3 linked regions of the Drosophila melanogaster genome follow. Changing the gene in region 2 together with the main gene of any one other region gives a genetic interaction. Each region holds a gene or a part of one and is shown on either strand. Other genes may lie near its edges.

What was found.
Region 1: of trc (region 2) and vimar, changing one suppresses a phenotype caused by changing the other (phenotypic suppression), as found in Drosophila melanogaster (one study listed by BioGRID).
Region 3: of trc (region 2) and Mob2, changing one enhances a phenotype caused by changing the other (phenotypic enhancement), as found in Drosophila melanogaster (one study listed by BioGRID).

The regions. Positions count from the first base shown.
Region 1 is NT_033778.4:6,981,465-6,991,872, forward strand, and holds the start of vimar (visceral mesodermal armadillo-repeats), read right to left. Parts: upstream 4,249-10,408; 5' UTR 3,955-4,248; coding exon 3,948-3,954; intron 1,523-3,947; exon of another isoform or gene 1,245-1,522; coding exon of another isoform or gene 505-1,244; intron 446-504; coding exon of another isoform or gene 279-445; intron 222-278; coding exon of another isoform or gene 52-221; exon of another isoform or gene 1-51. Other genes in the region: CG30156 (uncharacterized protein), read right to left, coding at 52-221, 279-445, 505-1,244; CG17002 (uncharacterized protein), read left to right, coding at 4,881-5,312, 5,370-5,469, 6,174-6,224, 6,317-6,801, 7,107-7,304. UniProt on the Drosophila melanogaster protein: Probably acts as a GEF (guanine nucleotide exchange factor) for the Rho family of small GTP-binding proteins (G proteins) that stimulates the dissociation of GDP to enable subsequent binding of GTP.
Region 2 is NT_037436.4:19,829,706-19,840,113, forward strand, and holds trc (tricornered), read right to left. Parts: upstream 4,600-10,408; 5' UTR 4,388-4,599; coding exon 3,905-4,387; intron 3,439-3,904; coding exon 3,229-3,438; intron 3,172-3,228; coding exon 3,065-3,171; intron 3,020-3,064; coding exon 2,523-3,019; intron 2,466-2,522; coding exon 2,371-2,465; 3' UTR 1,159-2,370; downstream 1-1,158. Other genes in the region: CG32221 (uncharacterized protein), read left to right, coding at 5,096-5,585, 5,649-6,340, 6,416-6,532; kto (kohtalo), read left to right, coding at 6,971-7,583, 7,645-10,312, 10,387-10,408. UniProt on the Drosophila melanogaster protein: Serine/threonine-protein kinase involved in controlling cell structure and proliferation of a variety of polarized outgrowths including epidermal hairs, bristles, arista laterals, and dendrites.
Region 3 is NT_037436.4:11,548,584-11,558,991, reverse strand, and holds the start of Mob2 (Mob2), read left to right. Parts: upstream 1-5,879; 5' UTR 5,880-6,162; intron 6,163-6,298; exon of another isoform or gene 6,299-6,453; intron 6,454-10,408. UniProt on the Drosophila melanogaster protein: Required for the normal morphogenesis of a variety of polarized outgrowths including epidermal hairs, bristles, arista laterals, and dendrites.

The sequences.
Region 1 (10,408 bases), on a different chromosome or scaffold from region 2:
ATTTACACCGTGCACTAATCCCTACATCTATCAATAGAAAAGTACAGAGTATCAGACTGGCACGTCCTGATTCAAAGACTCGTTCTCGAGCAACAGTCGACTGTGACCAGACTTTCCCAGCTGGAGCAACGCCTGGCAAGCGGGAGTGGACATCTGGCTGACATGCTGGAGCAACTTCTGGTCGTTGTTTCCCTGCCTCGCCCTGAGAAACAGATTATCCCCTGGAATCAGAAGTAATTTGAAGTGCCTGGTACTGGACAAAGTTTAATAGTTCTCACTCCAACTCCGCTCTTGCCTGCACTTATGTTTGAGGTCCGAGATGTAAACCTCCTCGATTTCTACTTCCAGTTCGGCCAACTGCTGTTCTGTGTACTTGGACAGAGTCGTCGGATTCATGTAGTAGGCAATGTGGTTCGTCCGACTGAGCCGTCGAGCGCTGTGGGTTCTGGAGAAGATTGGGCCTGTATACGCCAGTCTCAGCATCCGAGTGAGTCTAGAACTCACCTGGTTAGCGTAAAACTGTAAGCAGGAGCGCCTGCGATGAAGTGCATGGTGACGAAGAGAAAAACCAGAGCAGCCACCACTCCGATGACGAGTTGCTGTGTTTGGTAGAGTGACTGCCTCTGGGGCATCCGCTGATTGGCCCCCCGATAAGGCCTTCTGAAAGCGGCTCCCAGATCGTTCCCATTTGCCTCATTGAATTCACTTTCCCCGCGATAATCCTTGTACTGCGAGGGATCCTGGTCGTGGCAGTCGCCCACTGCCGTTGCTATGTTGTACTCAATCCTTTTCTGGCAGTCCGTGAGGCAGTCAGCCGCCTCGCTGATCCGCCGGAAGGCCTGCTCAGCCCCAGGAGATTTGTTCTTGTCCGGATGGAGGCGCAGGGCCAGCTTGTGGTAGGCCCGCTTCACCTCGGAGTAGGTGGCATGATGAGAGATGCGCAGCACCTCGTAGTGATTGCGGCACCGCAGGACCTTCTGCACCACGTCCAGCATCTCGAGTGTGAACTTGTGGGGCAGGGCGTCAGATTTGCGAGTTGGGCCTATGGTCCGCTGGGCCTCGCCCTTCAGCCTCAGTCTCAAAATGATATTCTTTAGCTCCAGCAGCGCCATGATCTCATCGTGGTTCTGTAAGCCTTCCAGATCCTCGTTGATCTGCCTCAGAGCGTGCTCGTAGTGTCCCAGGCACAGGTCACTCACCACCTTGTCGACGCAGTGATGCCTCCTCGCCTGCAGGATTCCCATTGTGAAGTCGTCGTCCTCCAGTTCTTGGTTACTTTCTTCTCCTTCCCAGCAGCGTGAGAAGACAAAAAAGGATTCGTTTTTCTCTGTTCGTTTGCAAATTTTAAATTTTGGTTTGTTGTTCTGGGACAATCCACCGAGTTGGTGAATTTAACAAAGTGCTTTTGTATGTATATTAGAGGTAGCCGAAATAGTTTCGAACTAAGTTGACTGTATATGTATATGTAGCTGCAAACTTAAATACAAATTGACTTTCGCCAGTCAACATTTTGTATGTCAACACAATGAACACTTGAGAAAAGACAACTTGAATCCGTTTTTTACATACCAGCCAGCTTATTGAACATTTAAATCATGCAGTACTCGTGTAAATACCAACGAATTTACCAACTTAAAAGTTGACACAAGTTGTACAAGTTGCTTAGTTTAGAGCGGAAAAAACTAAAAGTTTGCACACAAGTTGCACACTTGAAGCACACAAGTTAGAACGTTCTGTCGATGGGGGATTCCCCAAAATGCCAACCCTCTTTTGGCCCCGTAAAGTATGCTCCACAACTTGTCAAGGGGACACACATAGCCTCCTCGAAAAGACTCGAAAGTTAATTGAAATTAATTTCTATGCCAATTTGAATAGGGCACGAACTCAATTAAAACAGAGCTAGCCACCAACCACCCCACAATTTCATCTTTTCAAGGCGGCCTGCTCGCCCCATTCATTCTCAAGGCCATTAGAAGGGCCAAAATCTTATTAGCAGTTAAAAGAATAAAGCGAGTGGAAGGCGCTAGGCACGGGGAAATCACAAGTCACCCAGCTAGATTTGAAGCAAATGAAGCAACGACGCCGGAATACGCAAGAAGGAGGTGGAAAAGGACAATAAATTCGAAGCCGGGCAAACTACAATAACAGCCAGCTAATCTGGGTAAGCTGCGTGGAACGAATGGAAAAGCCCAAAATAATAACAATAACAATAAAGAGGCAGCAGCTCCGGAATCTAGAATCTGGAATCTGGCGAGGGGAGCGGCCTGCTTTGGCAGCTGATATCCTCTTCCTTATCAGACTCCCAGCCTCGGGGTTGATGGTAGCCACAGCCTCAAGGACAGCAGTCAAATTGCGTCGAAGACGCCGAGCGAAAGCGTCGACAAATGCAGTCACAAAGGACCAATTAAAGTCCAAAGTGACTGAGCCGCAGGGAGGACGTGGCAAGCATCTCGCAGCTGGGATCTGCACAGCGAGTAAATCATGCCGCAACGGTCCAATGGCCTGCATCCTTGAATTTTATAGATGTCCTTTCATTAGATTTCAAAACAATCTATAGTAATGTCGAATAGTATTTCAATGTACTATACTTCAGGTATAAAACTTATGTAACACTTAATGAATGCTCCGAATGACAGGTCTTGAAAATCATATATTCAGCGCAAGTTTCCCAGTGCTTGCATATGAATTAAAATGAACAAGAACCACGAATTGTTTTCAGTGTGGAAATGGGTCTCGCTACGCTGGGCGCAGCTGGTGGGTTCTGTAGACAAGTGAGGTGTACAGTGGTGTGGGGATTGGGATGCAGCACCCCTCCTGAAAAAGGGGAAGTTTCGAGGCCGGGATTGCCGGCGCGTTCAAGTGCTGTTTGTTGTCGTTCTGCACAGGTTCCCCTCGGGAAAGGGTATACAAACAGTACAGTCTGTGGCCAGTGTTTATGTATGTGTTGATTCGGTGCAGTCACGTTTGAAAACTAAGAAGTTTAGAGACTTGTTTACGTTTAACAATTCTCATCGGTGACTGACCCAAATATAACACATCCAGTGCGTACGTTACACATCCAACTACACTGAGAAACACAAGAAAAAAAGGGGTTTCTTTTAGTTAGTCACAGCTTTATCTTGACAATGACTGCGCTTTGACTGCAAAGTAGTATCGAATTTTAAGCCCTTTTAAGCTTAATCTGTGAAGATTGTCCTAATTGTAATGTTTATCAACAATTCAACAAAGTTGCCATAGATTTCTCACTGTGCATGACTTCATCGTTTTGTTTGCTATATCACCCCCCGTGGGGATAAAACGAATTGTGAGGACTGCGGGGAGTGTTGCGACACGCCGGTAAACCTGGCACCTCGCAGGAGGCATATTCTCATTTATTAATGCGTCGTCACTGCTGTTCCCAGTTCCCATTCCTATTCCTCCTGTGCTGCGGTGGAGTGGGCGGCTCGGGTGGCGGGTTCGTGCAAAACGGTGGTGGCCGCTGTCTCAGCCGCACTTAATTCCCGCCAGAACTGCCGGGGCCATTAAAGGATAAAAGAGCGGGATTTCTGATTGGGAAGCGCTGACCCTGTTGGCCGCGATAAGTGGGTGCGCACAGCAGCAGGAGCACGGCATCTGCCTAATCCGACCGGCCCACTGTGCAGTGGGATGGGGAGTGGGGAGCATAAGTATTGATTTTTCTCACATGTCCCCGGCAAACACACACATCTTGTCTAGGGAGCCGCATCGCCCGCCCCCACCCCACTGCCCCTGCTCGGAGCAACTTCCTCCGACACCTGGCAGCGATTTGGAAGTTTTCGCAGCTCGTAAATGCTGCACTGCAGCCATAAAACGGCCGCTGCAATGACTCGCATGAATTGCGTTTGTTTATGCTATGGAAAAGGAATCCGGGGTCTGCTGTATGTCGTTTGGGATGCTCCATAGGCAGAGAAATGCTCGATGTTACTCACTCGCCATGTTTGCCGCCTTTGTTGATTATTCCGCTGCTGCTTCTTCCGTTTTTATGCTTTTCTGCTTTTCTTGCTCTGCGTTGGTTGCGATTCCAGGCACGTTGTATCACTGTTAGCTTGTAACAAACACTGCTGATAGGCTAATGACTGCTGCGCGCAACTGAACACATTTCACGGCTTTCTTTCAGTCGCGTCTCCGTTCAACTTCCGCAATATCCGTATAATTCGTATTATCCGTGTAATCCGTATTTTCCGAATCGCGTTCAGACGTTCACACCAACAACTGCAATTCTAGTGTGACCGCAGAGCTCGAGCTGCACGATACCTCCAATGAGAGATGCCATATCGATGCTTACGCATTTTATTAACATCGATAGACATTTCTAGAATGTCTAGACTTTAATGCTTGGATTTTCCAAAAACTATAATCTGTTTCCAAAAAGTTATCGATAAGTATCGATCAGTGTTGAAACTATTTGTATTTTATATTAAATTCTGGGGTGTGACTAGTAATATTAGGAATATAAGCTTTAAAGAAAAAATCGAATTCTTTATAAGTGATTTAGTTCGAACGTTAACTTAAGATTTGCCACCACAATCGGAAAGTAGCTATTTTCTAGCTAGCTTTGCCCATTAATCGATTGGTGGCAACACTGGTCGGCACATCCCACTCACTCAACAAATTGTTTACCACAAAAAACCGTGCTGAAAGTGAACGAAAATAAAGTGCAGCCCGGCGTCGAGCATTTGCAGTGATCCCAAGACGCCCAACCATTGATTCCCGTAGCGGTGTCCACCCGGATTCCAGCCCACCGCCACCAGCACGCCATTCCATTTGGGGAGCCTCTCGGTCGGTTCGGTCAAACAGTCGCGATTGCCCGGTCGTCCACGAACGCTTATAAAATTGGCAAGATAACTAAGCAGAGCACAAAGATGCCGCCAGCATCAGCGGTAAACAACAGCAACGCGGCCGCCCAGGCGGCGAAGGCCGAGCGGGCGGAGAAGCTGCGCGGGGCACTGAAGGGCTTCATCGTGGCGGACCGCCAGCGGCGCCAGGAGGAGTTCGAGGCTCAGTGCGAGGAGCAGCGGCTGCGACGGGAGCGCGAGGAGGTGGAGCGCCAGAACCAGGTGGCCCTGGATGACACACGCGGCCAGATAACCCGACTGGACGAGCAGCTGGCCGATCTGCACAGCCAGAAGCATCAGCTGACCGTCCAACTCAAGAAGGTGCTCAACGAGGACGAAACGCGCAAGAAGCTGGCCAAGGAGAACGAACTGTTCGCCATCCAGCAGGCGGCGGCCAGTAGCCCGGTCTTCCTGCCGCCCCTGCGCCTCCAACACCAGCACCATACGCTGATGCAGAAGGTCTCGACTGCGCAATTGTGGGATTCAGGTTCTAATGGTCCTCTTTTTTCCTCGCAGCTCCCGTCCGGCGGACAGCCAGGAAAACGTGGCAGGAGTCCATCGCCGCCGAGTCAGCAGCAGGCTTACTACAAGAGCGCCGCCAGCTACGCCCAGCAGAGTAAGCCAGGAAGAGGTCGACAATGTGGTCCCTGGGCCTCCGATACAGTGAACGCTGCCTCAGGCAGGCAGTCCAAAGTCTCATGCACGCAATTTCGGTTGGATTTTGTTAACTCGAATGCGGGATCTGCTCATAATTTGATTAGTCATTGAATTGGTTAGCACATATGTATGGTTCTTGATTTGGACGAGAGATATACGTGATTTTTGTGATGTCATCATCTCTACATTCTGATTGCCAAGCCCTTTTTTAAGCTCTATGAAATATTAGCACTAATATCAATTGAACTTCTAATTAGGAATGATTGCAAAAACATGGTTAAGTGTTAAGTAAATAATCAATTCGATATAAAGAAAGTTTCGTGCTGTTTAGGCTTTGTATTGGATGGTTTAGTTTAATGTGTTTTAATGTGCACAAAAATTACCCTATTATTTTGAAGGATATATAGTGTAGAAACGATATATATAGGGTTTCTAGCAGATAGCTCGAGTTTTAAAATTCAACTGCAAATTGGCATTGGCTAAAGGTGCGATACAATCACCGATTGATCTGTTCTGCGGAGCTTTCGCTGTTCTTCTTGATTAACTGCTCGCTAACACTCCGTCCCGTTCATGAGAAATCCATTTCACTGCGCACACTAACCTCTAACAACACAGGCACACAACTTATGTTCATTTCGTTATTTGTTTACGATCGATTCGCAGAACACGATGACTACCGTCGTGCCGCTGACTATGCTAGATTATCATGGAACAGTAAGCACCTCACTTGCAATACCAAGCCCGAGATCCTCCGTCGGAACGATCGCCAGATTCGTCAATTAAACCTCACTTTTCCTCTCTTCCAGAAACAGCGGCACAGTATCCGGGCACGGGAACGGTCTTCTACCAGACGGTCGCTCCTCCGCCGACGACACAGCACCAGGCGGACGCCCGCTTGCAGTCCATCTACAACTACAACCTTCCGTTGCGCCAGGCCTACCACGTGGACCTGCCCAGCGCCACGGTCAGCAAGCCGCCCGACTCGCAGTCGCCCAAGGCACCGTCGCAGTCGCAGCCCATGCAAGTGCTTCACATCAACCTCGACCAGCCGACCATTTCGCAGGCAGACCTGGTGGCTCAAGCCGGCGGCAGCCTCTCGGTAAAGGCCTCCCAGCCACACGTGACTATGGAGAAGCTACCGGACCGCTACCACATCGAGGTGAAGCACGACGGCCAGCCGCCGAGCCACGTCCCGCCTCCGCCACACCTGCTGCCGGAGGGCGTCATCTTCAAGCCGCTGCTCAACGAACTCTCATTGCACAGCAACGTGCTGCAGATAAGCAGCAGCCAGGTGGGTCTCATTCTCAACATTTGTGGTTAATTAGCCGTGGCAGTGTCTTAGAATTTACAACTTAGAACAAACAAGTTAGATTTACATCTTCGAAATCGAAGTTCAACGATTAGGCTCTGCGAAAATGGTTTTTAAAGCCTGAGCATCTTGAATAAGAGCTGTTTTCTATAAAACAAATTCATTGTTGCAGGTTTTCATGTTTTCATAGGAAAACGCATTAGAACCAACTTCCCAACTACTGATTAACATGTTTGATATCATTTACAAGGAAGAACTAAATATTCACTTGACTAACGCCTGGCCAGTTTCCTCCACAGAATCCGAAAACAGCGGGAAGCATCACACAGGGCTATGCCCCTGGACGAGGTGGATCCGCCCACGAGCAGCAGTTGGCTCGGCAACAGCTGGCGATGCTGCCTGGCCAGCCGGGAGCACCGTCCGGATCCGGCTCCGCCCAGCCGCCTCCTGGTCAGCAGATGCATTACACGCGGCGATTGTACTAGCCTCTAACCCCTAACCCCTTTTGTCGCTACGGAACTCGCTAACTGATATACTTACGATTTTAAATAGACATTACAACACTGACTACGCTTCCCACGTGAAGTCGGATAAACGAAATAAAGCACACAACTATGGCGTCCCTATTTTCCAATCGACAATACCATACTGATATTTGATATTGATTTGATATTTGGTATCAATGGGCTTCTGTGGTTCTGTGGTTATACCATAATAACTTTGAGGTATCGTAGTTCTAATCACCAACAGGCAAATTGATCTAACTCGAAAGAGTTTTTGAAATTCTGGGCAATAGAAATTGGATCATGTATACATATAAAAAATGACTATTATATAAAATGGTATGTACAGCTGTGTTCAGAAAAATAGCAGTGCGAGGAATACTAATTAATACAAAGGTATTTTTCCATGTCCCTTTTCGGAATTGACTTTTTATTCCACTTATTTTTGTTAAATGGAATGTGTATATAGGGAAAAAAAGAAAATCCGGTTAGTTTTTCATGTTATCCTTTTTTTATTTACTTTCTTAAGCGAAATCACAACTTTTAGGCTGTTCATAAGAATAGCAGTGTCTGGTTTTGACCAACGTAAAGTCAGGAAATGATCAATATTTTTAAAAAGTGAGTTTGATTAATTCGTACATTTAAAAGGGGAGTAAATGAAAAAAATTATATATTAGTGGGTAAAGGACAGCACTGCTCCCAGGAGAAAAGAATGTTAATTATTAAGCTTAGAAAGGAAGTAAAAACATATATGAACATTCAAAAAACCCTTGAATGTTCTGCCAAAATGGTATCCAATGTCATTAAATATGAATGGAAGCCCGAAAACCGTGGTTCCATAGATATAACCACAGATATATAGCATCGACGCATTGTTTCTTACAGCAAAGTCTATCCTTTTGCATCCTTTAGGGACATAAAGTCTGAGCTCAACTTGGGAATCAGGGACGATACTATTCGAAGACGACTACTAAATCAAAATTTCAGTGCGAGGAGTTCACGAAAGGTTCCCCTACTTAGCCCAAGGCATATTTAGGCAAGGTTAAGCTTCGCTAAAACCTACCTAAACTGGCCAGTCTTCAAATGGCGTAATATCCTTTGGACTGATGGGTCAAAAATCGTGCAATTTGGTGGAACGGGTTCACTACAGTATATCTGACGACCTCCAAACACGGAATACCACCCAAAACACCCACTGAAGACTTTCAACCACGGTGAACCTAAAATTGTGGTATATGCTTGTTTTTTTTTTTACAATGGTATGAGTCCATAACATATGATTTATGGTATTATAGACCAAATAGCATATGTAAATATACTCATTGATGTCTTACTGTAATATTCTGAATATAATATGCCCTTAAAATGGACATTCCACCAGGATAATGATCCGAAATGCAGAAGCAAATCGGCAAAGAATAGGTTCACCCAAAAATGGAATAGATGCAATGCCGTGGCCAGCACCACCTTACGATTTAAACCCGATTGAAAACCTGTGGGGGGAAATTAAACAAAATGTGTCGAAGAACTCCCCGACGTCTAAGGCTTAGATTTGGAAAGTTGTGCAGGATGTATGGGCAAAAATTCCCCCAAATGATGCCAGGACCTGGTGGACTCCATGCTGCGTGGGTGTAAGGCTGTGCTGGCTAACAAAGGCTATCCAGCCAAGTATTAGGCCCGAATTAACGTATTAAAAAGAAAAACTAAGTTAGTTCTAGGTCAAGTTGAATTTTGTTACTGTTTTTTTCAATATTTACATTGAAAACCAGAGTTTCTACCTATTTTGTTGTTTTAATCTATATTTTCGAAACTATTGAAGAAATAAAAGTGAAACATTTGTTAAATTGTTTAAAATTAAATACCTAATGATATTATAAAAAAAAAAAATCCCATTAAAACTGTAAATCCTAGGAATTTTTGATCTTAAACTCTCAGGTCCAAAGCACTGCTATTTTTATGAACACAGCTGTATATATAGAAAATATTTGCTAAAGTAACTACTACTCTTGCGATTTATGAAAACGGATTCATTCAACCACTTTTATGACGAATTTCATTGTATTAATATCTCAATACTGTAGGTCTGAGAAAAATGATACATTCTGTTTGGTCAGCTGCAAGTTGAGTATACTGACAGAAAAAAATATTTCAATAATGTGCGAAAGGAATTTTGACTGAAAACGCTGAGAATGATCTTTTGTTTGAGTGAGATTGATTTCACAGTAGTTTTACTTTCTGTGTACATGCTAATTTGATACCCCGCACCCATGGGAAGCAGCTTGAGGTTTTTCCGCGGCATTAGTGCATTTTCGAAATTGCTCGAGTGTGACGCATGCAGATCTCAATCTCGACCACGGGCTTTTCGTCGCCAGCGAGTGTCCCTCCCCTTGGAAGGCAATCTCACTTATGTCATTCATTTGACGCTAATTCGACATTTACAGAAAGTATTTGCTCGAGGAAGATAACCAGAAGTGCAAGCAAATGATTCATAATTGATTCTATTTTGACAATAATTGGGAAGACAGCACTGTAGGAAAAAGGGGGCAATATGATCATATTCCAAATAATATGAATATTGATCATTTTAATTTCAAATTGTGTATATTCTTAGTAATCATATTGTATGTATGGCTTTTCCATTTGGGAAAATCCGTATGAGTTATATTTTATTCCTAAGAATTCGTGTTGCATTCAAAATTGCTGAAACAGAAATAGCTGCAAAAAATCTTGATTTGTTCGTGCCAATTGTTACATTGCTTTAATATTTTAATCTTTAGTAAATGTGGGCAATCCATCGAGATGATCTTCAGCGCTTGTATCTATTAGATACACTTAATTTTCCATCTTTAGGGGCAATGACTCATCCCAGTACGAGTTTCATTTAGATAGTGCGATTTCGATCAATGGAGATACGAAATTCTATTTCTCTTTGTGTGCCGAGCGTTGTGGAAATACATTTAAATACGGAACAACGTGAGGTTAATTGTGCGGAGCACACTTGTTAATTAGGGAATGTCAGCGGGCGCGACAGTTGGCGCTCCCCTCACCCCTTCCCAACCCACCGAAATCCGAAAATAATGCTTCCA
Region 2 (10,408 bases):
GCATCCAGCCACCCCGCTCCCCGCACCCTACCCCATTCAAAAACACACAATCGACAGTGAAAAACAACTAGATAAAACCTAAGCGATTATAAAAAATTTCTGAAATTACCATACATATTCGTCGATGTATACACTTTTCATTAGACTGTAAGCGCATAGTTAAACTTTTAACATTATACCATTATAATTTTATGGATACTACTGCCCGTTACAAGCATCCAATAAAGATTTCAAACAAACAAGCTAAATAAATCCACAGTACGAAGTAAACGCAATCCGAATTCCAATTTCAATTCAAATTTCAATTACAAACATACATACATATGCATATATGCCCGCACAGTAATCGAACCGTAATGTAAACAAACATATAGCTGAAAATGGAAAATTGAAAATGGACAACTTACAGTTTGTTTGTTAGCTGTGTGTAAATGTGTCTCGTAGGGTTTTCCCCGTTCTCCCGTTTGTAAAGTTTTGCCTACGCCCCCCTCAGCTGATGTAACAATTCTTATAGTCTGTAGTCTCCATATGCTAATACATTTATATATGTAGTATATATAATAAACGACTAGCTATATATTCCGATTCACGCACACACGCGCCACGTACACAGCGAGAAACCACGATCGACACACATACACACATTAAATCGCAGATGGAAAACAAGTTACTTTCGATTTTCGAGCCTAACCGCCTGACCAATTCAATTTGAAATCTTTATTTTCATGTCTGTAATGGTTTCGGATGTTGCACTCAATTAAAGCCAAGCCACATTGTTCTGATACAGATACAGAAACTGCAGAACTGCAGAAAATGAAATCAACGCCCTCTCATCAACACACAAAACACAAATCAAAAATCGAACGCGAGTGCAGATAGGGAAATATCGAGAGAAGTGCAGATGAAAAGATCGACAAAATATATACATACATTTAAATGTACAAAGCCTAGCATTTGTGTCGTGTTACTTTTTGGTTTCCTCATGCTTACTTATTTCGAAAATACAATACAATACCATTTAGGTTAAAGATGAAGGTTCGTCGTATCCATACCCATTCACATGTTGTTACACTACGGGAAACTCAAAAGCTTAAGGTTTCTTTGAGATAGGTTTCATGATTCAAGTGGAAATAGGGAGATGATTCCAAGGTTGATGTCCACGGTGTATGATTTCATGAACCACATCCACCTCATAGAATGCTTCAAGGATGCTAGCACTCCTGTAAGTAATGCACTGATTGCCCAGATCGAGTCGAATTCAAGTAAAAAGCATGTATTTGTTAGTTATTATGCACATGTTTCATTTATTATTGCATTTCATGTTGCTGTGTGTGTAGCATTATTATCGAATTATCAGTATGCTTACTATTATTGTATTCTATTACCAAAAATAATTTCTTAAAACTTGTTTACTCGTTTAATTTATTTATAGGTATATTATCAATTATTTTAAGTTTGCATTCTGCAACTGCTCGGCGTTGAGTGTTTGCTATGTAATTGGATTTATACTTGCCAGCGGTAACTCGGTAACTTTTTCAATAATTCACTTTTGCTCAAACTACAATTACTTGGAACTAAAAACTCCAGCGGGAAGTAGAATGTTTTTAAATCTATATTCGTGTCCGTGGGCGCGGGTTGTGGTGGGGTGGGATGGGGCAGGTGTACATAGAACGAAACCGATATTTAAACATACTTTTATTTATTCTGCTGTCTAGATTAGCTTTTGTTGCTATTGGCATTAGTAACTAATTTGTGTGATAGATTTTCGGATTCGGTTTTGTGTGTGGGGTTCACTATGTATTAAGACTTTGTTTCATTACAAGTTGATACAAAACATATACGTACAATTAACGTGCCTAAAAGTTATAACATTTTTAATTTGCTAAATAATAAATTTATGGGTATTTCGCTGCTGCCCAATAAGTAAACAATATATATATATATAAAGAATTGCCGAATGGGTCCCTAATATGGGGAACTGGTTTACAAACACAACGTTTAAACGATTAAGATCGGGATTAGGGATTGAACAAAGCCAATGGAAGGACATTTGAGGATTAGTATAGCGTTTAACCTAGCCCGAGGCGCGGGCGACGCTCTAAGACTTTTTTACATACAATACATCGTTTGTTCGCGTTATCATATTCTTCTCTTGTTTGGAATCACAAATGTTAGCTAGTATTTAAATACACATGTAGGTAAGACATTCAAAAAGGAAAATCGGGGATTTCGTTTAGCGTGGAGAATGCTCTTGGTGGTGATGGTGTTAGAGAGACGACGGCTGTGGTGGTGATAAAATGGGTGGCAAAGTGCGGCAACCTTCAAGCTGCTACTGCTACTGCTCCTGCTCCAGTTCCTGCTCTGCTGGATTCACTCCAAATTTCGCACCTCGAATCGTTTGTACGTGTAGTTGATAAAGACCCAGTCCTTCGCAATCTCACCGCCCTGCGGTATGGGCGCCGATGCTGCAATGGATGCACGTTAGTCTGTGTGCTCGTCCCTTTGCTTAAAAATATACTTACGTATCTCCAGCGACACATCGGGAAACTCGTCGAAGTTGGACGTATCGTCGATTGAGCGCACCTCAACGGGTATGGCCGCGGGACGCTCACGTATGTGCTCCCAGTCAACTCCCCGGAAGAACGGCACGGACTTCAGATCCTCCAGACCGCGCTGGGAACCCAGCCGGCGATCGGCCTCGCAGCAGAAGTTGATGATCGTCTCCTTGGCCTCCTCCGATATGGGGATCTCTGGGGGAAATATCAGCGTCTCGCGCCAGTTCATCACCTTGCGGTAGGTGTCCTGGGGATTGTCCGAGCAGAATGGAGGATAGCCCATCAGCATTTCGTACATGATGACTCCCAGGGACCACCAGTCGCAGGCGGGTCCGTAGCCAGTCTGCAGAAATACTTCGGGTGCAATATAGTCCGGCGTTCCCACGGTGCTGTAGGCGAGGGCGCGTCGATTTCGCTTCCACGACTCGGCACGTCGCTTGGAGTCCATCGGACTGCAGGACAAGCTAGTTTATTTAATAAATACAAGCTTAGATTCTTTCACATCTTACCTGGCGCACGTGCCTATAAAATCGGATGGTTTCGCCTGCGACAAGTCCCGATAAAAGTCTGTTCGATGCGACTTCTTTAAGCCAGTGCACAGTCCGAAGTCGGAGAGCTAAAATAATAATAGAGTTTTTAGTGGGCTCATCTCAATTATCTGGATTCCACTTACCTTCAGATGCCCTCGCGCGTCCAGCAGCAAGTTATCGGGCTTGATATCCCTGTGTATGAAACCGAGTTTGTGAATAGAATCGATCGCCAATGCCGTCTCACTGATATAGAACTGTGTGCCCTCCTCGGATAGCGTGTCCTTCTTCATCAAAAGCGTCATCATATCACCACCAGGCAAGAACTCCATTATCAAATATAAATTGACGGGATCCTGTGGAAAGATATTTCAAAAACATTCTCACATTATTACTGAGTAAGAAAATACTTATATATGAATGCAATTGTATTTACATTCATTGTACAATAATTGTAATATGCAAAAATATCTTATTAAACAAATATTTAACGTCAGAGAAATGGCGATTCAGTGTAGGCTGGTTCGCCTGTGTCAAGAACTTTCACCGAGAAGAAGTTGACAAAAGAGAATCGAGAAAAAAACAACAAAGGCGGCCCACGCAGAGAATGAGAGAGGAAGCGAGAGAGCAAGAGAGACGTGACCATATGATTGGCAAAGGCGCTTTTGGCATTTGCCGTTGTATTGGTTTATTGATTTTTTTGTCCGTGTTTTAACACAATTCTTTTGTTATGTGCGCTGCCGCCCGCTCCTTCACCCCATCACCCTTTCTCCCACCCACCCTATATCATTGTTTTTGTTGTAGCTGGCGCTCGTCACTCACCTGGAAACTGTAGTACATCTTCACCACCCACTGATGATCGGCCTCGACCAGGACATCGCGCTCGGCTCGTACGTGTGCCACCTGCTCCTTTTCCAGCATGTCCGCTTTGCGCAGCACCTTCATGGCGTACACATGTCCCGTGTCCTTTTTCTGCACCAAACGCACTTCACCGAACGCGCCGCGTCCGATGACTTTGAGGGCCTCAAAGTCCTCCACACCGAGGCGCAATCGCTTCAGCCGGAGATACTCCGTCTCCTTCTGGGCATGCTGCAGACGCTTCTCCTGGCGCTGCGCCTCCGACAAGCTCTCGTCCTTCAGCTGAGCCTCCAGCTTTGCGAGGCGCTGCTTTCGCTCGCCATACTGCGTCACCAGGTTGCTGTAGTAGTTCTCCAACGTCACCTTGGCCTTGGTGGCCTTGTCCAGTGTGTGGTCGCTGAATCTGATCGAGGCACCGTCCGCGTCCTGCGTTCTGCTGCTCATCATCTAAGCTGGGGTTTTTGTCCTGGTCACCTCGGTCCTATTTGGGGCTTGTGTGTGTGCTCCCTGCGATGTCGGTGCGTGTGCGTGTGTGTGGTGAGGAGTTATGCACTTGCCAATGCACACACACTGCTTTCTTCGCCCGTTTCTTGCCTTTTTCCTCGGTAATTTGTTGAAATTCCTCCCTCTGCTGCTTCTTCTTCAAGAGCCATTCGCATTTTGCATCCCCAACAAAGCAAAGTTGGCTGCGATCCAGTGGGGCTATCGATAGCTAATCGATTGATTTTAGAACTTTAGTGCTTTTGGCTCGCAGATAGTCATGACAATTAAGCTTTCACCGACAATTGTATAAAATTTATGTACTGAAATTACGTTACTTATTACTTACATTGATTTTTTTAATTAAAATTGATTAAATTTAAATTTATTTAAATTTACTTTAAGGTCATGTTATTATTTACTGTAATTCTATTAAGAAACAAAGCTTAAACAATAGTTAAAATATCTTAGCTTTAACCTTTTAGCTTGAATCTTGCCAAAAGACTCTTACTTCGAAAATTGTCATCACTGCCACCAGTCCAATTAGTAAATAAATAGAACTTACCGACTTGGGATAAATTTTTCCATGTCAGGCGTACATAAACCAGTTGCCTTTGCTAATCTGGCCATTTGGCGCCTGTGACGGTCCCGCGCAATGAGCATAGTCAGCTAATAATGGCCCGCATCACCAGTATTCTGGACTTGGACCCCAGTTCTCTGTTGTTCATCTTCAAGCTTCTAAGCTTGGAGGACCAGTTGCACTTGGCGCGATGCTGTCGCATTTTTAGGGATGCCTTTCTTCGCCTGCATCGCCATGATTTCCAGGATGTTGTTGACAAGGATATGAGTATAAGGACTCTGGAGGATTGGCGCACCTTTCTGTGGCTCTGTGGCAGTCGCATCGGTACACTGGAATCCCACTTTGACGATGATCACCCGCTGCAGCTGCTCCCGATGATCAGCAGACACTGCTACCGACTGAAGTCCATCTCTATATACAATGCAACAGTGGCACGGGCGCAACCGTATTTATTGAGGATGAGCTCCCTGGAAAAGGTGCACGTGCGTAACTACAAGAGCACCAGCAAGGATCTAATAAAAGCCATTGGGATACACCTTCCGCGGGTCAACAGTCTGAGCCTGGAGAGCTTTGAACGCAAGGAGTGTAAGAACTATTTAATGTTCACCTTATCACAACAATATTATTTAATTGCTTCTCCCTTCACAGTACAAGAAGTACGTCAGTTTAGCGAGATGCTGGAACTTGGCTTGTACGACGACGTGACCGCCTCGGAATTCGCAACAATTGTGAAACCCATGAGGAAGCTGCGATGCCTTCAGCTGCGCAACGCCAAACGCTTTCTGACTACCAGCAATCTCAGGATGCTGGCCACCAACTGCCGCCACCTGGAGAAGCTGACGTTCAATGACTGCGACGCCGATCTGTTGGTCCTGCCGCAGTTTGTAAACCTCAAGTACCTGCAATTATACTGCTCGGAGGATATGAAAACGCGCCTGTTCAAGGCACTGGCCAAAAGCCAGTGCTCCATTCAGTTGGAATACCTCATCCTGCACCGCAAACGCTGGATTGACGAGGAGCAGGCGCAGTACATCAGTGCTTTGAAGTGTCTCCGGTGGCTGGTCTGCAAGCCTCGTGACGATCTGTGTGTTCACCACTTGGCGAAGTTGAGTCGATTAGAGTGCCTTTCCATACAGTCCGCTCGTGAGATTGGAGAAACGCAGCTCTCCCTTTTGGTGGCCAACAATGAGCGCCTTCGGTATCTGAACATTTGCTATTGCCTGGGCATCACAGACGCCTTCGTCTTGGACACGCTGGCCAGCTTATCGAAACGCTCAGCTCATCAAACCCTAGAGCTATTTGCCGCGGCCACTGACATTAGGCATGACATCATGGAACGGGTGAGTAATATTTAAAGCACATACATATATTCGAAAGTCCTTATGTTAATGTGACACTTTGTGCTTCGTTTGCAGCTACCGCACGAATTTCCCCTGAAAATGCTCTGTTTGAACTTCGAGTGCAGCGATGGAATGACAAGCGGCGGACACTTTTATGCCGATGAGCCGGAATTCGATCGCCAAGCCTTGTGAGGCCTTATTCGTTTAACAACGAATGTTTCTTCAATCATTACCAAAAATACAACGTAAATTATTTAATATTTATACGCAGCTTTATTCGTGATCTTACCACTTTGAGTGGTATTTCTTTTGTTAGTGCACAACGATGTAACTTTTTCACTGCATAATTAAAAAATTACGTCATATTTAAAGTACTGTATCAGGTTGATTGGGGATGTGTGGCTGAACATGATAAGATTACATTTGTAATATTTACAACCATTTAACACTTAGCTTAAATTCGATTGCATCCGCTAGATTGTTCGCGGGATGTTATCGAACTATCGATGGCTCATCGCATTTTTTCGCCCCACCACTGATATTTTGATTTGTTGTTGGGTTGGCGAACAGAGGAAATCGGGAATTCGCTAAGAAAATCTGTTTATAAAACGCAACTAGAGGGCCGCGAAGATGCTGTCCATGCTGCAGGAGAAGCGTCCGCTGAAGCGCACCCGTCTGGGTCCGCCGGACATCTATCCGCAGGACGCGAAGCAGCGAGAGGACGAGCTGACGCCCACGAATGTGAAGCACGGATTCACGACGACGCCACCGCTGTCCGATGAATTCGGTACGGCCCACAACTCGAATGTGAACGCCAGCAAAGTGAGCGCATTCTTTAGCGGCGTCCTGGCCAAGAAGGAGGAGCTGATGACCCTGCCGGACACGGGGCGCAAGAAGCAGCAGATCAACTGCAAGGACAACTTCTGGCCCGTTTCGCCGCGTCGCAAGTGTACGGTGGACGCCTGGTTTAAGGACCTCGCCGGTAACAAACCCCTACTTAGCCTAGCCAAACGGGCTCCATCGTTCAACAAGAAGGAGGAGATCTTCATTACTCTGTGCGAGAACCAGGTGAACATGCAACGCGCCACCTGGTTCATCAAGCTGAGCGCCGCCTATACGCTTAGCTTCACCGAGTCTAAGAACAAAAAGCGATCCATTTACGACCCGGCTGCCGAGTGGACCGGCAACATGATCAAGTTCATGAAAGAGCTGCTTCCCAAGCTCCAAGAGTATTATCAGCAGAGTGAGTACAGTCCTTAAGTTCTATAATCTATCAACTCCCTTATTCAACTTCTTGATTTTAGACCACGACAAGTCCTCTTCGAATGGCACCACTTCCGGAAGCCTGACCGCCGCCGGTAATGGTCCTGCCAGCAATGGCTCCACTGGCACCAGCTCTATTAACTCCGTCACCGGTAGCAGTGCTTCCACGAACGTAATCCCGGTACCCAGCATGGCCAGTCCACTGCCACCGATTCATAGCCCAGCTAATGGCCAACAGGCAGCTCCTGGCGGAGGAGTGAATGCCGGCAGTGTCATGCCGACGACGGGAAGCCTTGGCGGAGTAGTCGGTGGGCCGGGGTCTTCTGTGGTAGGAGGCGCAGCGGGTGCAGGAGCTGCAGTTCCACCAGGCTCTACAATTTCTGGAATTGGAAGCCAGTTCGAAGATAGTCGCAATGCGCTTAAGTATTGGAAATACTGCCACCAATTGAGCAAGTACATGTACGAGGAATCACTTTTGGACCGACAGGAATTTCTAAACTGGATCCTCGACCTTTTGGACAAGATGCGTACGCAGGCAAGCTTCGACGAACCGTTGAAGAAATTGGTGCTCAGCTTTGCCCTTCAGTACATGCACGACTTCGTCCAGTCGGAGCGTCTTTGCAGAAAGATGGCCTACATAGTGTCCAAAAAACTGGCCCAGTTGCTGAACACTGTCGTAGAACAGCAGACCATCAAAGAGTTGGACGAGCCGAAGTTGCAACAAGATCCCTATGAGCTGGCGCTTCAGGAACAAATGAGTTGTCCCCATCATCGGGATATAGTGCTGTATTTAAGCACGATCCTACAGATCATCACAATCGAGTGCCCCACAGCTCTGGTCTGGAGTGGGATAGCAGCTCACCGAGCACCCTCCTCGTTGTTGGGTAGTCCGCTGGACCATTTGCCTTTGGCGCCCTCAGTCTTGCCGATGCCCACACGCTGTCCGCGAACCAATCACGAGATTCGACGTCAATTGCGGGCCGCCGAGTCGGACATCGTATTGCGCACTCAGCATGCAGAGCAGCGCTGGTTTGCAGCCAAGTGGCTGAGTGCCGGCAAGAATCAATACACCAGTGTGCTGGCTACACTGGACCACTTGGACACGCACTGCTTCGATCGCATGGAACACAATAATAGTATCGATACCCTATACGCACAAATATTTCCCAGCCCAACTGTCAGTCGCAGGCGGGAGGAGGATCAGGTGGAACCTCGTCCGCCTTATGAACCCAAACAAGACAAGGACACGGTACGCATTCTGTGCGAGTGGGCTGTGTCGGGGCAGCGTTGGGGAGAACACAGAGCCATGGTGGTGGCCATTCTACTTGACAAGCGCCAGATCGACGTGACAAGCACGCCGGCGGATCAACAATCCAGTGATAAGGATGACAAGGACTCGCTAGCTTCGGGCGCCGGCTTAATTGATGGCCTGCCTGTGTTTCAGCACGTGTTAATGCACTTCCTTGACCACGATGCTCCCGTCCTCGATGAGCACGTGAGCAGTCCACAGCAGCGCACGGAATTTACCAACCTTGTTCAGCTGTTCAGTGCATTGATTCGCCACGATGTCTTTTCGCACAACGCGTACATGCACACTCTAATTTCACGAGGAGATCTGCTCCTGGAGTCGGTGCTGGTGATCAAATCAGGAACAACGGCCACGAAAACATCGCCGCCACCTCCAGCTCCACCACCAACGACGACGCACGGTTTCGATGATGACGGATTCGGCGGGGGCCTGGACTTCAAACACAACGAATTTGATGATTCCAATGTGGACGACGATTTGGACAAACTGGTGCAAAATATTAAGGAGAAAGGACAACAGCACGAAGCTCCAGACAGTCCCAAGATTGGTCCTCCAGGCGATGGAGAAACCAATCCTGGCGGTAGCATATCGCGGCATTACGTGTACACCAAGCACTTCCCCATCCCCCAGGATGATCCCAGCATGAGCAGCTACAGCAGTGAAAGCAACCAGCGATACATCCTGCTCTTCGGAGTCGGCAAAGAGAGGGACGAGAAGAAGCATGCTGTCAAGAAGATGTCTAAGGAAATTGGAAAGCTTTTCACAAAAAAGTTTAGCATAGATGTGGCGGCGGCCGGTCATGTGAAGAAGCACTCGCGCAACGAGTTTAACTTCGAAGCTACCACGTCCAAGTGCCAGCAGATGGCTTATTTCGACCAGCATGTGGTCACAGCCCAATGTGCGGCCAATGTCCTGGAGCAGCTGAACGGATTCGCGTTAGGGAACAACAACTACCTGCCGGTACAGGAGCACGTGGCGTTCCTCTTTGATCTGATGGAGCTGGCTCTTAATATCTACAGTCTTTTGGAACTGTGCGATAGTCTGTTGAAGGAGTTGCCTGAGGTGGAGCACCAGTTGCAGCTAAAGAAGTCAAACCTAGTGCGCAGTTACACCACTTCACTTGCCCTCTACATCGTCAGCATCCTGCGGCGCTACCACAGCTGCCTTCTTCTTTCACCGGAGCAGACGCTGTCTGTTTTTGAGGGAGTCTGTCGTACCATTCGGCACGTATCGAATCCGAGTGAGTGCACTTCGGCGGAGCGCTGCATTATTGCCTACCTGAGCGACCTACACGAGTCGTGTGTTTTGCTCCAGGGAAAGGAACAATCCACGGAGTACTACCAGCAGCTGCAGTGCATCAAGCGGTTCAAGGACATATTCAACACTCCAGAGCAGCTTGAGTGAGTTTAGATCGCAAGTTCTTCCCCAATAATATAATATATAATATTAACAAATATTACCATTTTTTATTTAGCCTACCACCTCAGGGTTACAAC
Region 3 (10,408 bases), 8.3 Mb from region 2:
CTGTGTGGAAAGGCATAAATAGCGAGAGAGAAAAGCGACACTTGGCCAATTTTTTGCAGCCTTAGAAAAGGGGAATCCATTGATTGACGGACAGTTGGCCAAGTTCTGGGGCGTGGCTTGAAATCACTAGGCAAAACCAATTTTCTGCAAACGAAGATTGTGTATGTTTAGTATGTGCGAGAAGGGGCCACCATTCTACTGGCCCTTTTGCCTTTTGGCCCGGCCAACAACAGCTCAGTTGCAGTCGAGCGGCGGAAGCGTTTAGTTCCCCCAGTTAGTTCTCCTCCATTAGCCAAACTCTCCGCTGGCCATGAACTGGGCCATTTCGAATTTAACGGGCGGCAATCGCGTTAGCCGTGCGATCCTCGTTCGCTACTCCTCGGTTCCTTTGGCAGACGCCACCAACGATGGATCCTCGACGGCACCCCAAACGCCCACCGCCTCCACGCCACGCCCCTCGAGCTCGCACTCCTCACTGTCGTCGACCTTCGCCGCCACCTTCCTTCATGCCTCTTCGCGTCACATTCCCGGACGCGCTGTGCCGCGCCAAAATGCCAATGGCCAGAATGGCGGGAAGGGTAATGCCTCTGGAGCAGGTGGTGGCGCGGGTGGCGGCGGAGCGGGTGGCGCTAGTGGGGGAACAGGTGGCACGGGTGCTCAGGCTGCAGGACAACTGTCACTCCCGCTGGACGTTGAGGAGACCGTCACGTGCTTCTGTCGGTAAGGAGTGGCAAACTATGGAATTTAATAGATTTATATATTTATGAAATCAAATATATGTATATCCTGAAATCAAATCAGCAAGTGCATTCTAGGACATAAAATATCATAATAATTTCCCTTGCATTTACAGAAGTTGAATAGACTTACTAATAAATTCTACAATATCAAATATTTACTTCTCTGACTTATAAACATAGAAAAGAAATTATTATTTATTTTTTATATAAACGTTTTGCCACACAGCTAACGTTTTCTAGTCAATAGAAAATGTGCAAACACTTTCAAATTAAATATTCCATTAAGAAGCAGACCCTTTTATCTTTGAATTTTCGTTAATCGAAAGTTCACAGCTTGAATTATTTATTGGTCATTCTATTTGCCGTTTGTAAATATTCAATGCAAAACTTCTTTATCTCCATACTTTTTTTTATTGATCTTTTCCGGGAAAATTGTTAGAAATAAGTTTGATGAAATGAAAATATTTATAGCATGATTCCGCCAAATGTGAAAATCTCTTTGTTGCATTCGATTTGCAGTCTATTTAAAAAGTATGGCGAATTGTTTATTCAGCTTAATGGGTTGATGGAAACTGCCAAAATGTTTGACGGGCTTTATAGTTTTTCTTTCATGTTGGACAGCACCTTAATTGCCTTGGAAAAATCGCGAAAACTGCGTCGTTTCTTTTGCCTTCGTTTAGTTTAGGGACAAGGCAATTTTCCAAGGCAATGGTGTGTGTGTGTGTGTGTGTGTGAGAGTTGGGTGATGATTACACTTTCACCCTCTTTACCTCTCTCTCACTCTCGCTCTCGCTCTCTACCTCTCTCTTTCTTTCTTTCCGTTTGTTGGAAACTCTCTGCGACTCGAAGTTCGCTCATTTTCCTCCAGTTTCCCTCGCCGCATCACATGTGCTGACAGCGGGCAAAGTTCGCCAAACAGCTGATTTCTGCGTCTGCCTATCGGTGTTTGCGCTTTTCTTTTTGTTATTGGATTTCCCGGCTCGACTTCAACGCCATCCGTTTTATAAATTATTAAATTTGCGGCGCATTTTTCCTTGGTCTGCTTTTCGGTTCTTGTAGGGTTTCCATGTTGCGGAGAAACCCCCGCGAACTTTAGTGGCGCGACCAGGAGGCAGGTTTCCTCTGCTGGGTCTCTGGTGATTCACACCTCCAGACGACGTTTGCTGCACATATACATTACTGTTAGCATTTCGGTATTAACCTCCGCCGACGCGATTTACACACGCCCCCCCTTTCGTTTAACGGCGACACATAAATCTCACAGCGCCACGTCCGAGACGCATATTAAGTCTACAGTGGGGGGCACAAATGAAGGACACTTTTCTAAAATGAAGGACACGCAGGATATAGAAGCCAACCCAAACTATTTAATTATCTAAAAAAAAATAAGAAAACATGTATGTACATATTTTACTTAAAATGATTAATTAATAAGGAAAAGAAAAGTTTAATTTACTTAAAAATTTTTTAATCACTTTATCATTTTTATCAAGCTGATCCATTTATCTTGTACTTCCGCTGACCAAGCACTTATTTTTTTTTAAGAGGAAAGATTTTTTATGGTTCTTACTACCATTTAAGTTCAAGCATAGTGTACAAAACGAGCGCCAATTGTTTCATTGCTATTAATTTAACTACCGCTGTGTGTTTATGCGTATGTGTTTTCGTTTATGTGGCGCTCATTCAAATTCATTGTTTTGCCATTTTTTGTGGCTGTTTTTTGTTTTTGCGCATTTCCTAATTTGATGGCAACATCTGACGTCATTGGCATTGCGCATGACCCGCAGAAGCAGCACTAACAACAACAACAACAACAACAATAATAACGGCAGCAACATCAGATACAACAACAGCGCAGTAACTACAGTAACGCTGGCAACAACATCTTGATACGCTTTGTTGTTCCGTCTTATTTATGTGGTGGCGTGACCGACTAAACGGAACTCCCGCCCCCCTGCCCCACCGCCCAGATCGAGACCCCCTTCGTGGGGCCACTCCCCCGCACCAACCCCCTCGAATCGCAGCCCCAAGCGAAACTAGAAACGTATAAGCGAGCTGTAAAAACAACAACAACAACATCGCAGGCACGGCAGCAATAAAAACAAATCACACTAAACTAAGTACACAGATAAAAATAATATGATGAATAACAATTTACAATTTAGAGAAATATTCGTAAACTATTTATTGAATTGCTTGTATCAAACATAATCAATAGAAAAAATTACTTTCTTAACCTTTTTTATTATAAAGGAACTTCTTTAAAAACTTATATTTGCCAAAAATGTAGAACTCAACATTAATTGGGTTTTATTCTTGAAAACGTTTGATACATTTGTTTTCAGTGTAAAGTGTAGTTTGAACAATTGTATTTTCTTTGCATACATATGCAGCTGTGTTGTTTGTTTGTTATTTTTCTCGAGCACCAGGAAACAATCTCCTTAACTCTTTCACTTTGCAATTAAGTAGGGAAGTTGGTTGGGGAGGGGTGGAGTAACAGCAAGTAATCATAAATCAAATATTAAGTTTGATAAGCAGCAACAACCAAGTTGTTTGCCAAGTTAATATTTATATGGAAAATTGAACGTATGGAAGACTAGTGTCTCGGTAAAACTTTGATATAAAATATTCTTTCTGATCAATAAAGAAATCATTAGCATGGCTACGATAAAAGCATCCAGCAATTATGGAAATCAGTGTAAAGAAAGTATATATTTGCCATACTATGCTAACAATAATCATAACCAACATTAAATTATCTACTTCCAGCGTAAATATAAATACAATTTTTGCTTTAAAAGAATATGTTCATTGTTCAATGTACCTAGTACAAATAAGAAAAGTTTACCCTTAGTGCATATGAACTTTTGCGGCACATTGTTTGAACTTTTATAAGCCAATGGAGCAACTCTTTATGTTTTTTTTTTTTGCTTTTTATTGGGAGCAAAAGTATATAACTGAAGGTATAAATGCAACATGGCATTTATATACAAATTGTATTTTAAGGCACTTAAACATGTTATCAAACTGATCGAAACTGTCATCTGACTTCTGAAAGAAGTCAACATGTAATGCCTTAAAATGTCCTATAAAATATTGTATTTAATTGTACCGAATCCTGGTGGTCTCTGTAAACTCTGTTTACTACCATTTTGCATTTTCCTACCTTCTTGCCGCAACATCCGCAATATCCGCAGATCGCGATCGTGTGCCGTTTTTGCTGTCCGACGGCAACAGTCGCTGCCATAAGTAATGGGCACAAAGCAATTCGAGTAATGGCAAATGGCAGCAGTTGAACCGCTAGAAAGCAGCCGAGCGTTACCACCTTTTGGAGCAAGTGAGATGGTTGCTGTGCTGTGTGGGTGGAAAGAGAGGGCCATAGAGTTGGCGGTACGGATCAGATGTTCCATTACACGCTTCGTGTGTGTGTGTGCGCAGCATAGTGTGGATGAAATTTTGATGTGGTGCAAATGAACTTGCCGCCGTTTCGGTTGCATTGCGGGCGGTCACAGGTGCGCGTTCTCTGCTGCCAAGATTCCTTTTCCTCTATCCGCTTCTCACCTTTTCGCCCCAGTCGTATTTGTTCTTGTTTTTCTTCAGCTCGTCAATGGACAGCTGTTTTGAGATACACTCGAAAAAAAGTGTATTAATGCAATTGTCTAGTAAATTTAAAAATATAAAATAAGTTTATGTGGGTTGGTACTGTTGTGTTTTTGTTAATCATTCTTTTTAGTTATTCGCTTAATGAATACCACACATGTCGGTCCAAATTTATCTAAGTGCATTGCGTGTTCCTGTTTTCAACTTTATTTACGCAGAATGACGATGCGTTTATATTATGTTTTCTTATTCGGGTCTAGATTCTGTGTAAGTTAGGCAGCAAATGCAGTTCCTGTGTTCTTCGGTTTTCGTCTACCGCTCCATTCTATTTGATTACTGATTTTATTTCTTCCTGGCCGAAAAAGAGCGTGATAATTACTCCCTGTGGAGAGATTTGATGGTCAGAGGAGTAGCTATTTCATGCGGGCTTGGGGTCACTTCATTGATAAGAACCACGTAGCTGGAGGTCCTTACCATCGAGAATAACAAATTGGAATATATCTTTAATTCTTTATTTTCTGTTTTCCTTTCAGGTGAGTGAAATATCTTGAGCATGAGCTTACCCAAATCCCAGGTAATTTGTTTAAGTCAATTAGAGCAGTCATTTTAACTGAGAAAAAAATTATAACATGCTTAGAGTATTAAACGTATTAAATAAATGTTTAGCGCTTTAACAAAACTCTATGATGTTTTAGTTGAACAGATTGTTATCAAGCCAATTAGTGTTCTTGGTAAAAGTACATAAGTGATGTGATGTTTGCGTCAATTGTACGAAATTGTGTTAGCCATTAAATTTGCCGAATTTATTTCGTTTACCTGTGATCATTAAAACCATGTGTTAATGAATCAACAATGGCAATATATTTATGAGAAATCCATTTAAATGTTTCATACGAACGGTACAATTATCCCTTTTCGTGGAAAATTAATTTCTAATTGTTATTTATAGAGTTTATCCTAGGTTTGTTCAATGCGTTAAAAAAGTAGTAGATTCTGCTACTATTCTACTGCCACTTTGCCGTGTTCTCTTGTTACCGAGCTGTGTGGCAACGCCAGCGCAGTCAGCTGCTGAGCATCAAAACATGAGCGCTCAGCTGATGCGAGAGAGCGTAGAAGAGAGAGGGCTAAAGCCAAAGCAGTCAAACAAGTGGTCGAAAACCGTATAGATGTGCGTGTCTCGCTTGAGTGGCGCATTTGTATGCAAAACACGTACACGGGCAGCTCTCTCCCGCTCAGCTGGTATTTGATACCTCTAGCTCTCTTCCTCGCGCTCGAGCGGAGAGCAAATGTTGCTGGTGTGCGAGACAGCAGCAACATCAGCAGCAACAATAACAACAACAGCAACCACTTCATCTTTACTGTGTGCTCTGCTTTCGTTGCCAGTTTTGTGTTTTTGCTTTTGCTGCCTTTTTTCTCTCCTTACTTGCGTGAGTGTTGATGTTGCCGCTGTGTGTTGCTGTTGTTGCCGCTGTGTATGTGTATGTGTTGCTGTTGCCAGCCGAACGAGCAGCAGTCAGTCAAAGACGGACGGCTTGGCTCAGTGTAGAAATTTCCTTTGGCACGCTTGGTCGCTCGAGCGGTTGCAGGTCGTCGTCAATAGTGGACTGTTGATGTCGCCGCGTCATTATTTGACATTGTTTTTCGAGGCGCCGCCGTCGGTTGCAACCACACATCATCGCGTCGCAGTTAAAAGCAAAACAGCAACTCCAGCAGCAAGCAGCGCAACATTTGCAACATCAATTGCCACCGTGAAATGCTATGCTAGATTGTGAAATAAAATCGCCTACCAATACAAACTAATATCCCGAAAAGGGGAACAAATGTAAGCCGAAAAGGAGTCTGTTCTCCAACAAAAAAAAAAAGAAAGAAAGAAAAGAAGTTCTTCTCTGTGTGTGTGCTAGTGTTTTCCCGTGCTGGTGTGAAACTGTGTCATTCGCTGCGAAAAACTGCATTCAAGTTTTTCCTCAGAGCCGCGACTGCTGGCGTGTTATTGTTGCTGTTGCAGCTAGCTGCCACGGTTTGTTGCTTCACTGATTACGCGCAATGCAGCAACAGCAGCAGCAGCAGAAGCAACAGCAACTAACTGCAGAGGAGCAATAGCAGCTGAGAGTTCAGTTGCGAAACCGGCGAAGCGCGACTGTTGCCAATGCAGCGCTTAGAATTGGCACACCAGCAACAACTGCAACGCTGCAGCAAAGCTGCTACTCCAGCGTCAGCAACAACAACGGTACATTGGGCATTCACAATGTTGCTTGGTGTGCCACTGCCACTGCCACTCCACCACTACTTGTTCCTCCACTGCCATATTGTTTTAACCACTTCCTTTGCCGCAGCGGCAGGAACTTCCTTCCTCACGAGCTTCCTGTCTGTTCGTCCGCTTGTCTGGTTGTCTGCCCTGCAACCCTCAACCCTCCCTTATTAACGCCCCCTCACACTCAACTGCATTGTCAGGTGTTTTCTCTGCCACACAGAAAGAAATGGGGGTATTGTTAGGGTTCATTTGACAGTTTTCACAAGAATTATTTAAAGATAGGTTTTTATGGAATATATCCTTATTCAAACTGCCTTTAAATACCTTCTAAAAATAAAAAGAGTGAAAATCTTAAAATAATGATATATCTTATTGGGCCTAGAGTATTTCCTCTTTTTTCCGTGCACATCCTGGTTGCGTTGTTTCTACTTTTTGTCAACCCCGTTGACGCGCCTACGTGTTCAATACGCTGAGAAAACAACAGTTACGAGTGGCTCAACCAGCAGCTTGTTATTTCTCACACCTTTCGTCCAGACCCCCCGCGCCTTCCTACCACTGCCCCTCGCCAACCCTTTGGGTCCTCAAATGCGCTAGGCCATCCATCGATTTTTTGAGGTCATGCTAAAAATTGCAAAGCCAACTGGAACTAGTTGCGGATTCCCATAGTTGAATTGCCATGGACAATTTGCGGAAGGCAGAGGAAATGAAATTGATTCAAGCCTTTGTGGTGCGATATTATCTAACCGAATTCGATTCGTTTTCTGTGTAGGCCCTTCTGTGTTGCGGATGTTAAGGATTTATGTAAGCTCAGGAACTAATTAGGAAGAAGCACTATGATATTTATCCAAACTAACAATTTTAGTTCGATATATAATGGTATAGAAAAGTATCTATGTACTATTTGCGATTGAACGTTTTGCCCCCGTTATGAAACACTTTTCTCACGGTATTTCCCCATTAAGCAATTCCAGCAAAATCGTATAGATACTAATTTAGTAACTCAGCAATCGCATTTAATCGAATTCATACATATGCATTTCGGTTCTATTGGGACTGTTTTCATTCGACGTGTATCTCAATCGATCGTTTAACCCATATGAAAAGGATAGTCACAGTTATAAACGCTGTCGGATGAATCTCTGGTAACTGGGTTAGTTAGCGACCCGAAAACTTCTCTGCGCCTTTCCGCCGAACCGTTATGCCATATGTATGTATGTATGATGCTCTGCCTGCCCGCCGGTCAGCTCTTCCAGACCAAACCAAACCAAAATGAAGCGAACAGAACAGAACAACCCAAACCAGCTCGAAGATATATATGGATGGGTTTTGTACGGCTTGGCATGGGGTTTGGTGGTGGGGGTACGGAGATACACCTATCTACTATGTATATCATGTCATCCATTGCATGTGCATCGCACATCTCACGTCACCGTACCGCTGCACAGCTTCTATCTCCCTTTCCATATCTGCTGTCGTCTTCCTGCTCGTCGTTTGCCAGTTGTGGAACTCGTTTTCATTTCTTTCGTTAGCAGACATAGACATAATTCTCCAGCTTTTCTAGCGAGCAAAGGGGGTGGGGGTTCATTTTCGGTTTCGGTTTCTATTTTTTTTTTCTCTCTTTCGACTTTGCCAATCGCTCATTTGACCTTTAACGGGTTGTGCTGCATATACATGAAAAGCACACTCAAATCGGCAACAATTAAGCTCATTCAAAACGCGAGCAATGGGCAATCTAAGAAAAAAAAAACACTCGCCGTCGCGTTGCTAGAATCACATCATAAATTTCGGTTTTGATGGGGCGCCAGTTGTTCTGTGTGCGGAGGTGTGAAAACGATACTAGAAGGGGGGCGCACAAAAGACAAAACTCGTTTGGGGGGAAAAGACAACAGAGTCAGCAAATTGGCTTCAATGCGAGTTGAAGGTTAAGTGCGACAGCGACGCGGAAATTGAACATTTTGGATATTGGAATCAGTAGCTGGTTTCGAGCTGAATAAACAAAACAATAGGCATTAACCCCTTTTCTGTCATCTTTCGATTTTTCGTACTTTTTTTTTAGCACGCACTTCAGACCATTTTATTGGCTTCCTAGTATTGTCTGCAAGCAATTAAAAGTTTTTGCTTTAAGCTGCACAAAGAGTTTCATGAGAAATTTGGGATATTAGTTTCGTAAAGTTAAAATTTAAAAGCACAAAAAATATAAAAAATACTAACAGAACGAATTAGTTTTACATTGAAGAAAGAGGATCTTCATATCAATAGAAAATCAAAGATCGAAATGTACAGGGTACCTCTTTTTGCTTATATAATATACCATTTTCAATGATTTCGTATCTACTCAGATATATTATGACAATACTAAGATGGCTAAGATGAATTGCTGCTGCAGTGCGTTTGCAAAATTCGCATTCAAACGAATCTTTAACTATGACAGGGCAAATTTCTGCCCGTTTGGCTTATGTATTTCTGTGTTTTGGGGACTGTTCGATAATTTTTTTTTTTTTGCTTTTATAAATAACCTTAAACGATTTTTCTGCGCCGCCAGGCCACACGAAAAGCGAAAAGTGTCAATGTCAGCTGTTGGTTGTGTTAGCCACGAAAACGCCAAACCGAAGCGAACCAAATCGAAAGCGAGCAAGCGATGTGAAATCGGAAAAATCGAAGACCCGTGCTAAATTTATTATTCAGCTGTCGGCATTGCCATCATAGGCATTTTCCCAACCCGTGTTTGGTTTTCCTCCTCTTTTCCTTTTTTTTTTTTTTTTTTTTTGCCTTTGCCCCGCTTTTCTAGTCCTTTTTTTTGTGCTGGCTGCCACTAAAAGCTTCCCAAAATAAACGCGAATACATGTGTTCATATTTTATACATAACGAGTATATATGTACATACATTCGCACAGTGCAGCGGCTAGTGAAAATTTGCAAAATGTTTCCGTCACACAAAAGGCACTTTATGCCTCCTTCGCTCACCTTTCCCCACTGCAAAACACGCGCCGCTAATTGCACGCGTGTGCAGCCATTTCTGCGAGATTATTTCGAGATACATTTATACACTTGCCACCAGGCCTCCCAAATAATTGCTAGCCGTCAGTTTTTTGGTCTGGCTAAAACTGTGCAGGCAAAAAAACTAAAAAACGAAACCAAACATATCGAGACAAAAGAAAATGTAATTTTTGGGGGCTAAATCGCCACCGAGCAGCTGAAATATCCGTGTTGCAATCGTGTTTTTTTCCATCACGCCCCCGCCCATTTTTTGTTTTTGTTTTTGAGGATTTGTAACAGCCTCGAAAACTCGAGATGATGTTGTATGTGAAGAAGACTCTGCTCCCACAACATTGTCAAAAAGCCATCGCCATCCTCCCCGCTAACCAACATATATCCATTGACCAAACCAGAGGCACCGTGGTCTTTGTGGCTATAAAAATCAATGAAAAATGAATATGTTTATTGTTCAACTTGACTTATTGCCTGCCCCAGCGCTGTTGTTCGTGCATCTTGTTAACACGCCTGACTACAACTTCTGCATTTTGAGCAGTGGCAATCAAATGTTTTACAGAGGAAGCTACCGTTGCATTTTCATAGCCTAGGTGATCAGCAATATTATGGACATTTTACCTATAGACAAAGACGTAGGCGTATTATGGATGATTTAAGGAAACATTTGAATACACTGTATCTGCATACATTATTTTTTAAACAAAATATTAGCTGAATGTTCTTAAAGTAACATTTTTTGTTAGTGTTTCAACTTAAGACAGACCTTAGGCTAGAAACATTATAAAGATTAGTTATCTACTCTGATTTAAGTATTTATTTCATTATT